3 linked regions of the Nothobranchius furzeri genome follow. The protein of the gene in region 1 interacts with the protein of each later gene in a pairwise test. Links are inferred from orthologs where the notes say so. Each region holds a gene or a part of one and is shown in the gene's direction. Other genes may lie near its edges. The genes, in order: tfip11, txlna and rrp7a.

What was found.
Region 2: the proteins of tfip11 (region 1) and txlna interact in binary tests that used the Homo sapiens proteins (3 or more experiments, as listed by UniProt). The two-hybrid records come from large-scale screens. The link is inferred for Nothobranchius furzeri from reciprocal best matches to the Homo sapiens genes TFIP11 and TXLNA.
Region 3: the proteins of tfip11 (region 1) and rrp7a interact in binary tests that used the Homo sapiens proteins (3 or more experiments, as listed by UniProt). The link is inferred for Nothobranchius furzeri from reciprocal best matches to the Homo sapiens genes TFIP11 and RRP7A.

What each region holds. Positions count from the first base shown.
Region 1 is NC_091757.1:45,000,468-45,004,067, reverse strand, and holds the start of tfip11 (tuftelin-interacting protein 11), read left to right. Parts: upstream 1-988; 5' UTR 989-1,098; exon of another isoform or gene 1,099-1,116; intron 1,117-1,536; 5' UTR 1,537-1,538; coding exon 1,539-1,744; intron 1,745-1,833; coding exon 1,834-1,999; intron 2,000-2,089; coding exon 2,090-2,246; intron 2,247-2,354; coding exon 2,355-2,482; intron 2,483-2,598; coding exon 2,599-2,760; intron 2,761-2,919; coding exon 2,920-3,111; intron 3,112-3,250; coding exon 3,251-3,430; intron 3,431-3,540; coding exon 3,541-3,600. Other genes in the region: srrd (SRR1-like protein), read right to left, coding at 1-149, 216-256, 487-698. UniProt on the Homo sapiens protein: Involved in pre-mRNA splicing, specifically in spliceosome disassembly during late-stage splicing events. Intron turnover seems to proceed through reactions in two lariat-intron associated complexes termed Intron Large (IL) and Intron Small (IS).
Region 2 is NC_091751.1:3,237,531-3,240,357, forward strand, and holds the end of txlna (alpha-taxilin), read left to right. Parts: intron 1-32; coding exon 33-152; intron 153-237; coding exon 238-312; intron 313-385; coding exon 386-478; intron 479-560; coding exon 561-656; intron 657-1,391; coding exon 1,392-1,721; 3' UTR 1,722-2,307; downstream 2,308-2,827. UniProt on the Homo sapiens protein: May be involved in intracellular vesicle traffic and potentially in calcium-dependent exocytosis in neuroendocrine cells.
Region 3 is NC_091752.1:66,978,924-66,982,756, reverse strand, and holds the start of rrp7a (ribosomal RNA-processing protein 7 homolog A), read left to right. Parts: upstream 1-1,290; 5' UTR 1,291-1,788; coding exon 1,789-1,852; intron 1,853-1,943; coding exon 1,944-2,086; intron 2,087-2,164; coding exon 2,165-2,290; intron 2,291-2,376; coding exon 2,377-2,500; intron 2,501-3,833. UniProt on the Homo sapiens protein: Nucleolar protein that is involved in ribosomal RNA (rRNA) processing. Also plays a role in primary cilia resorption, and cell cycle progression in neurogenesis and neocortex development.

The sequences.
Region 1 (3,600 bases):
AAGTTGGTAGCGAGCGGCTACACATGAAGAAAAAGACCCAAGACCATAACAAACACACATCAGTGTTTCTTCTGGGGCTTTTTCCAGCTGATTTTCAGTGTCACTGTCCCCTGGAGGTTTTAGGGATGCTGCTGCTGCCTGGAAATTCTCTGAAGAGAAGATGATCCACTAAATAACTAAGCTTAACTCAACCTACATATCTACAACAAACTCACCATTCCAGTCTTTCCAAAAATCTTCGTACTTTAGTTCAAACCTAAGAAGGAAAGATATAAGCAAACCAATAACTTATGGGAAGATGTATGATTTCACCTATTATGCAAGATAAATATTGTTACTCATATATATATATATATATATATATATATATATATATATATATATATATATATGTATATATATATATATATATATATATATATATATATATATATATATATACATACATACATACATACATACATGTGTGTGTGCGTAACTTCTTACATGTTGTCTCTGATTCTTCTGATGAGTTTTCCAACATCCAGTTGCTCCTGATGGCATGATGGTGAGTTTAGAGGAACTTGATGAGATTTAAATTGCCTACATACACCTTTTCGACGCCGAGCTACCTGCCATTCATCGGATATGTACGACATTTGTGTGAATTGCCAGATGTAATTTACATAAGTACATACATTTCCAAACGTAAGTATCATAAAAACATGGAACTCAAAACCAAATTTAGCATTTTGAGAGCTGAAAGCTAAAAATGGAAACGCAGATGACCTATTCAAGTGCAACACATTGTTCTGTTTCCGGTGTGATTTCCGTCTAGTTAAAAGTCACGTAAATTCAACAGATTTGCTGTTGTTCGATTGTTTTTATTTTTAAAAAAAATATTGACCGCTTTATAAAAATGTATGTGTTGAATGGTTGGTTTTAATTAAGCTGCTTTTAAAATATTAATGAAATTATTTGTAGTGTACATTAATTGAAGTGACACGGCTAAACCGGAAGAACTTGCTTTTGACAAAAATATATCATTCGTCAACAGTTCGTGTCTCTGCAGTTCGTCTTATTACCACATAAGATATGTGTTTTTGATCTCAGACCAAGGTTGTAATTAATATTTTAGTAAGTTAACTTAAACGAAATCGTCGTTTTTTATCACTACTAACATGTTGTGTGTATTTACATTAATGCTACAGAACGTGCGTTATTGCTAGTAATTAGCCTTCGCTCCGTTTTCTTCTAAGCAGATTTGTATAGTTTTATAATCGATGTTTCACGTTTAGTCTTATTTGTGTATTCATCGTTATTGATTGTAAACCTTTTTGTCATTATTAATTTATCGTTAGTTAAACCACAAACGTTGACTTCATACCTGACTTAGTTATCGCATTTTATTTCCCTCTTCTTTGCCTTTAATAAACTAGATATGCATCTTTTTCCTGATTTTGAAGTCACAATGTTTCTTTCCTGGAAAATAAATGCACGTGTAATTTTAGGATTCGGTCACATTTCATTAAGATCTATATTGTTTATAACTTGCAGAGATGTCAATGTCCCACCTTTACGGGCGGAGGGAGGAGGAAGAGGAAGGTGTGGAGGTGGAGAGTTTTGAGATTACTGACTGGGATTTAGCCAATGAGTTCAACCCAGACCGTCGCAAATTCAGGCAGAGCAAGGAGCAGGCCACATATGGCATCTGGGCCGAGAAGGATTCTGATGAAGATGAAAGGCCCAGCTTTGGTGGCAAGAAGTATAAATGGCTTGCTTTTGACACAAATTCCAATTCTGAAACAATTTCTAACCAAATGTTCTAATAAAATATTTATGATTTCTTTTTAGATCCAAAGACTACACTGTACCTGTGAGCTTTGTGAGTGGTGGTTTGCGTAAGAGTGCTGCTGAAGAGAAAGAGCGGGAAAAAGAAGGCAGCTCTGACGACTCTGATGATGATACTTCTGCAAAACTCCCCCCTTCACGCGTGACTGCACCCAAAAAACTCCAGATGGTAATTTTTAAATGTGCGCACATTGTGATGTCCATTGTTTGTAGAAGAAAATAGTGAAAATAATGATGTTGGGAAAAAATGTTTTTCTAGGGTAATTTCTGTGGAAATCAGTCTAAGAGGTTTGCAGGTGGAATACAGTCTGGACAAGGAATTGGTAACTGGGAGAAACACACCAAAGGAATTGGACAGAAACTTCTGCAGAAGATGGGTTACCAGCCAGGGAAAGGCTTGGGGAAGAATGCTCAAGGTGTGTTTAGTTGACTTAGATTGTTCTTTTAAAAATGTTGTAAAATGTTTTGTTTTTTACATGGATGTGGTGGAATTGAAACACTTGTAATGTACTTTCTCTCTGTAGGTATCATAAACCCCATTGAGGCAAAGATCCGTAAGGGAAAAGGAGCGGTTGGTGCTTATGGCAATGAAAGAACCCAGCAGAGTCTTCAGGACTTTCCTGTAGTTGACTCAGAGGAAGAAGAGGAGAAGGTAAAGTACTGAGAAAAAAAATTGTCTTTACAATGTTGTTTTTATTTTTGTGTTTGATTTTATTGATCAAATGAGTCTATAGAGTCATTGTGGTAATTTTCTATATCTTTATATAGGAATTTCAGAAGGAACTTGGCCAGTGGCGTAAGGATCCAGCTGGGCCTGCAGGAAAAAAGAAGCCCAAGTACTCTTACAGAACAGCAGATGAGTTGAAGGCTAAAGGTAAAATAGTGAGTCGGAGCACATCTGCAACTGCAGGAGAGCTGGCACAGGTCAAGGTATGTTTATGTTTCACTTGTGTGCTGTTTGTTTTTTATGTTGGCATGGCTGCATAGGTGCAAAATTGAGGATTCAGTGTTTTATTAAGCATCAGTAATTTAAGTACATTTTGGCTACATTCATAGTACTTATTTATCCTGACATTTCCCTTGGTCTAGGTAATAGATATGACTGGAAGAGAGCAGAAGGTATACTACAGTTATAGTCAGATGTCTCACAAACACAGTGTTCCCGATGAAGCTCCACCAAGCTTGGCTTCACAGGATCAAAAGGTATCTGGCTTTGCTCTCCCCGAACTTGAGCATAATCTGCAGCTTCTGATAGACCTGACAGAACAAAACATATTACAGGTAAGAGGAAACCAAGAATTATTTACAACATATTTAGCTACAAGAATAGGATATTAATAAGTCAGCAACCTGAGAAAAATGTGAAGAACTTGTAATCTCTACTAAAGCGTTCTTTCTTTTTTTTGTGCATCTTTTGTAGTCTGCCAGACGTTTGCAGCATGAAAAAGACGTGGTTGTTTCTCTGAGCCATGAGTCAAAAGCTTTGCAGAGCAGACTGGAGTCAGAGCAAGAATCCATCCGAAGAATGGAAGCTGTCTTAGCATTAGTGGAGCGTTTTCCTTCTGAAGAGACGGCACCGGGAGAGGGCCCGACCCTACAGGTTTGTGTTACAAACACTGACTGGAGCCGGTCTGCAAGCTGTTCAAATTAAGGAGTTCCAGCTTTATATTTCATAATTGTGAAGCTGATTTGTAGTGCTTGTCTCTTCAGGAGTGTGCCCAGATCTTTGAGACATTACAAACCGATTATTATGAGGAATACAAGATGATG
Region 2 (2,827 bases), on another chromosome or scaffold:
GTGTTGACCTCCATCTCATGTCACCCTGGCAGCACATAGACAAGATGGTGAAGCACAAAGACCTGCAGCAACAGCTGGTGGATGCCAAACTGCATCAGGCGCAGGAGCTGCTGAAGGAGTCGGAGGAGCGCCACGACAGAGAGAAAGACTTTGTGAGTTTCTGTTTGTATGGTTCTGCGTCTGATGTCTCTGGTAGTTTCGCATAAGACTAACATCCAGTTTGTTGTAACTCTTTAGCTTCTGAAGGAAGCTGTGGAGTCTCAGAGGATGTGTGAGCTAATGAAGCAGCAGGAGGTCCACCTCAAACAGCAGGTCTCTCTTAAGCTCACTCTTCAGAGTCTCTGCAAAGCAGCTGTCGTCTCACTTCTGCTGTTTTACCTCCCAGCTGTCTCTGTACACCGAGAGGTTTGAGGAGTTCCAGACCACGCTGTCTAAGAGTAACGAGGTCTTCACCACCTTCAAACAGGAGATGGAGAAGGTGGGTGGTTGTGAGGAGAACGTGGATAATTCTGTTGGGTCTACCTGCTCAAACAGGAGCCGTGCTTGCTTTGGGTTCACAGATGACTAAAAAGATTAAGAAGCTGGAGAAGGAGACGACGATGTATCGCTCGAGGTGGGAGAGCAGCAACAAGGCGCTGCTGGAGATGGCTGAGGAGGTAAAGCAGCTCCTGGAGTTTGGATTTGGTTCTCACAGATCTAGAGTGTTCAGAGTAAGGTCGGGCCACTTTGCCGACAGGGTTGGGCGTGTGACGTCATGACACACGGACTGATTTGCGAACCCAGTAGAAGACCGAAACAGATTTTTTTTATGGACACGCGCAGCACGTGTGTTTGCTGGAAGATAATTTTATATTTTTCTTTTTGTTTAACTTTGTATTTGTAGTTTGGTAGAGACGTATAAACGGCCCGTAATAAACACGGTTAAATGTTCAACAGAAGCCTTGCCTTTGCTTCCCTGCGGTGCCCACTGTTGTGGTTTTCATTTAAGCTAAATGTTTCCGTCGGAACAAGAACTTGTGGGGTTCTTTCTTTAGTAAGTAGGGATAAGATCACACCTCAGACAGCTGCGCTTCTCTTCATGCCAATGATGTGCGTTAAACAAGGATCTGACCACGACTGTAGACTCCGTGAAGGCTTTTGCCATCTTCACCCTTTCCTTAACCATTTGGTTGACATGGCAACAATAGGTCAGGGGTCACTGCATGATCACCCACTGCTGTTCCCAGCTGTTTAGATTCAGTTCCACTTTGTTGGAAAACTTTGAGACTTTAGTAGCTGGTTATTTAAAAAGCCACAGCTGTTGACCACGCATCACGACGTTCTGACGCTAGCGCCTTCCGAACTGTTGTTTCACGTGTGATTGAGTCCCAAGCTTCTGTTTCTATTCCCAGAAATCTGTGCGAGATCGGGACTTCGACGCGTTGCAGGGTAAAGTCCAGCGGCTCGAGAAGCTGAGGCGGGCACTTAAGGTGGAGCGAAACGAGCTAAAGAAGAAGGTCCAGAACCTCGGTGGGGCCGCAGGACCCCACACCTCTGACCCAGGGACTGACTCCCCCTCCCCGCCTCCCACGGACTGTCCGCTGGAGGCCAGCACCTGTCCTGTACCAGACAGCTCCTCTGACTCCCCACCTTGCCACTGTGAGCCACAGCTGGACACAGTTGCACTCCCAGAAGAGGCAAACTCCCCACCTGTCCCTGTTCTTGTCCCTGCACAGGAATAAAGCAGGACTGCTTCGTCTCCTCCTCCCTTTCAACGTCCAACCACCAGCCTACAGGCCGCTGGAGCAGCTGATGTTCAACGCTGAGCTGGAATCAGATTTACACCAGATGAGTCCAACAGAAGGGTTAACGTGTGTCCTCCCAGCGTCATCTGCAGACGGGCTTCCTTCACCCCATCCTCTCCAGCTGAAACTAAGCTAGTTCAGATCATTTTATTACAATAACTAGAGTTGTTGCTGAAGGCTTTACTGAGCTGTGTGGGAGGACACCACCTAAGCAGGTTTACCACAGGTGTGTGTGTGTGTGTGTGTGTGTCTTAAGTGTTGTTTTCTTCCATCTCTACCATTCCTTCCTTTAAGTAAGAGCTGTGTGGGACTGTTGAGGGAAGCTTTTCAGTCCAGCCTTTTATCCTTTTTTTATTATGATTTTTTTTGGCAGAGTAAATCCTGGATTATTAAAGAACGTTTTAGAACTAAAACGTTTGAACTCTTATTCATTTGTGTAGTGTTTAAATGTGAGTCTGTATTTATTGTTGAAATCATACAGTCACTGATATCGGGGGTTAAAATAAAGGATATTTTCATTTAAGCTGATCATTTTCATTCATTTTACTCCAAATTTGTCATCCTTACCTCTCCTGGGTTATGTTGCACATTACCAGTTTAGTTATTAGTATTAGCACTTTTATCTCATTTAACTCCATCTTTGTTCCGTGTGTGTGTGGGATGTACCTGTTTATATCTGTGATGGTCCTGGGAACGGCAAAGGCTTCTGGTCAGGTTTATTCTAAAGAATGTCAAAGTTCCTCTATGCAACGCTTGCATCTTGGTTTTATTCTGTGGCCTCGACCCACGAGCACTTAGCTGAGAATGTAATCTCATCATATCCACTGTTCTGCATAAATGTGTCGGGGACGACATATCTCACAGTTTAAGGCCTTTTTCTTCCAAGGGGTTGATACTTTTACATTGGGTGCTTTTGAAATGTGCATTGATCTGAGCCAAGTGAGAAAACTGAGAGGAGAAGTCTAATTTGATTTGGTTTCCTCCAAACACACGCCTGTTTCCCCTGTGCACTACATATGTAGTTTCGACAAAGCAATGCCATC
Region 3 (3,833 bases), on another chromosome or scaffold:
ACAGAAAAAATGATTTAAATTGTTTATTTTTTATAATGTTGATTTTTTTTCGACAAAACATGGCGCTAAAGGGGTTAAACCTTATAAACACACAAAGTTTGGAGGGGACTGAAGCTATAGATGGGATTTGGGTAAAAATGTGACATTTGAAATAATATATAATTTTATTAAACCTTTAGCCAAAATGCATTTTTTTGCGAGGGTCCCCAGTGTAGTAGCTCTTTTTAAGGAACCTCCAAGGGTTAAAGTCCAACTTCAAATGACTTGATCTGTTCAATGCACCTGTTAAGACCCTTCTGGTGATGTCAGGCTGATTACATCATCAAAGACCATTCCAGATCAAGACCCAAGAAAAACTGGAGGGGGTAAAAGTCACGTGGTATGCGCAGCAGCAGCGTCATTTCCGTTGTTTACGGAACACCCAGTTTTATCATCCATACAAGTGAGTTTCTGTGGAGGATCACAGGGAGAAAGTTAATAAACATCCAACCCCAGGGTTTGTTTGGTTATTTCTGCAAACAGATGCCTTATTATCACAGACCTGATTTATAAACAAGGTTTTAAACAACAGTCATTGCTTATGAATGCCCTTTACTGATCTGAGATCATGTGAAACACCACTGTCAGAAAGCTTAAAGCCTCTGTCTTCTCCCCATCCGGTCTGTTCATGGGTTCCTGAATGGGGCTAAAAGAGCTATTTTCTAATCTGCTTTGCCTTACGCCCTGGATCTCACATATGTTACTTCTATTTAAATGAAAAGTAATGATGGGTGTTTCGACCACGCCAGTCATGTACTTTGAGATTTATCACCTTGTAAAAGTTCGTAATTAGCACGTCCACAAAGCGGACGTCGTTATGTCGCATATATGACATCACCACATAATCTCCTCTTCCCTAGCTTAGCTGCTACTTACCACGTGCATGGCCAGATGGTCTTTCCTCCTGAAGGAAGAATTTAGAGTTTGCTGAACCTACAGCCATTTTTCTTCTGGTTTTCATTGTGTCTCGTTCGGTGACGTCACTTGTGGTGATGCGCATTTGTAGTTCTGGACTTATTTTCACAAAAAACCTAAAATAATGAATAACCCACCCCCCACCCCACGTTCGAAAATAAGACCTTGCTTTGCATCAAAATGTGTCTTTAAAATTCACGGACATCATATGTGAAATCCATGGCACATAACAAGCGGTATTAGAAAATAGCAATTTTAGCGTCTTTGACTTTTAATTTTTACGTTCTTCTGGGGACCCATGAGCCGACCGGAAAGGAAGAAGACTTGCAGCGTCTCCGCCATATTGGGTGGGTTCTCCACTCTCCAAACCCAACTATGTCCATTTTTGTGCAACCTATGGTGGCAAGGTGCAAACCAGAGACTGTAGAAAGAGGCACACAAAAAAAAAACACACATTACAGAAAACACATGGGATTGCCCACCTAGTGAGACTTTTTTTAAATGTACTTAAATTTTTGTATTTTTTTAATTATATTTTTATTAAGGGACCTACACCACGTGCCATTTTTGTGGAAAAAGCATAATGAAATTTTTTTTTAGTTGGGTAAGTACCTTTCTCAGTAGAATACTTTGGGGGCGACCCATCAAAGATGGCGGCTGTGGCGATGACTGTTGTTTCACAATAAAAGTATTTAGAGAATCTTCATTACACATGAATGCGCTTGTATTTTTTCTAGGATAGCATGAAAACAAATTCAAATAAACAATGTCAACAATAAAATATAATAAATCACAGACGGTATCACTTCCGGTTCAGACAAAGGTCGTACCAAAATGGCGGCGTCCGGGAAAAAACATGTCCGTAACACGGCATGTGTCATTCCTGGTGGTTTTACTGGTATTTATCATCTGTATCTGTTATATAAGTCCCATATTTACCGGCTCGTTTAGGTAGGAACCATTTGCTCACGTGTTCGATCTGTTTTCAGTTCTTTCCCTCCAGTTCAGCCCCGACAGTCCAGCTCAACACAGCGTGTTCGTGAAGGAGCATAAAGTCCGAGCTGAGAGGAGTTCTGGCAGACCGTTGGACCGGACCTTGTTTGTGCTGAACGTCCCTCCGTACTGTTCCAGGGTGGGAGCCGGAGCCCGGTCCGTTGGGAGCGGTAACTGGGTTCTTGTCAGCCATGCTTAGTTCTTGTTTCTGTTTCAGGAGGTCGTCAGGGAACTGTTCTCCATCTTTGGCAACGTTAGCTCAGTAGAGCTGAGAGACCATCCTGGTTCCTCTGAGGGTTCCGAACCCAAACTGTCCAGGTTCTTCAGACCAGCTGAGAAACAGGTTCTCCTTCATCCCACTCCTCTTGTTATTTTTAATCTTTCCTTCAGAATCCTCAGCGCACTGAGTCCTCTGTCTGTTTCTCTTAGGGGTTTAAAGTCGGTTACATTGTGTTTGAGAAGTCTGCGAGTGTAGCAGCAGCGAAGTCCCATCCTCGCCACGTTCCTCTGGTGGTCAGCACAGATCAGCGTCCAGTGAAAACAGGAGTTCAGAGTGAGTCACTCCCCTTCTTTAGTCACCCCTCAGGGTTTTATGTAAAAAGTTCTGCTGATTTAGGAGACTGCAAACACATTCCCGACCTGCAAAACCCAGAAAAATGTCCAAGTTTAGGGACTTGGACATTTTCTTCAAAAGTGATTAAATGTCATGTTTAATTTGTCTACTAGATTGAACCTTAGCTCCCTAACAAAATAACACCTCATTTGTCAAAATCCACCCAGCCAATGCAGATATTAAACCTCTAACAACCCAAATTAACGCCCATTTGTTTCAATTGGAAATCCATTAAAACCTGTGATCAAATTTTGATTAGCTGTCTAGTTCATCTACGGATAGCCAGAGTGGCCAAATGACCTCAAACATATTGTAAGGGTTTGAATAGTAAACTATAGGCTAAACGTTTTATTTTGAAGGCGAGCTCAACGGGTGTTAACAGACTGCTGTACCAGTGTTTCTAAAGCTTAGACTGGTAGAAAATAGGCACTAAGGTTAAAGTCTGACAGGAATCAATACATTTTCATGCATTTAATCTACTGATTTATGTTTATACTTTCTCAAGAGAGCTTGAAGTGAGTTAACTTGTAAAAATTTTACAGGAGGAAAAATATCGAGCTATATATCGTACAACGCAATTCAGCAAAAAGATATCGAGATATAAGTTTTGGTCCATGTCGCCCAGCCCTAGAAAAACGCTTCTGAAAGAGGCATCGCCTGGAGGACCGAGAGAGCGGCACTGAGGCAGTGATAGACCACACCCCCCTCAACCCCCTCGCTTGTGCCGCTGGAGTTTCTAAATCTAAAAACGAGTTTTTAACGAGCGCGTGCACGCGCTCACACAAGACTTACCGCTCAGGAGAAAAGCAGACACAGATTCTGCAGAATTCTGGGGGACTTCCTGTTAAACCCGATCATTAGATGAAAAGGGGAGGAGGGCTTTTTTTCAAGGAGGCAAGCGGGTTCGAGCACCAGTGTGTCAATTCGGCAAGTGAGCGGCTGAGCCAGGTGGAGGAGCGGCTGCCTCACCTGGAGACCGGTGCGGTGCAGCCACGTTTTTCAGCGTAGCCATCAGCCACAGCTGGCTCTACGTGAATGTGGAGCAGAGTTTTAACCTGAAGATGGAGATAGAATTATGGTTTTGGGCTGAAATATTAAATTTAAAGAAAGCAGCACTAAACTGCAACACTAATGATTACACGTGTGTGCAGCACCATTAGACACTCAACTATACAGGTTATCAAAAGTGAATGTAATTCTCCTGAAGCACGTTCGGACACAAGTGGTTTCCTCCAACGGGTGAATTTAATGAACTTTCATACACCATTATCCA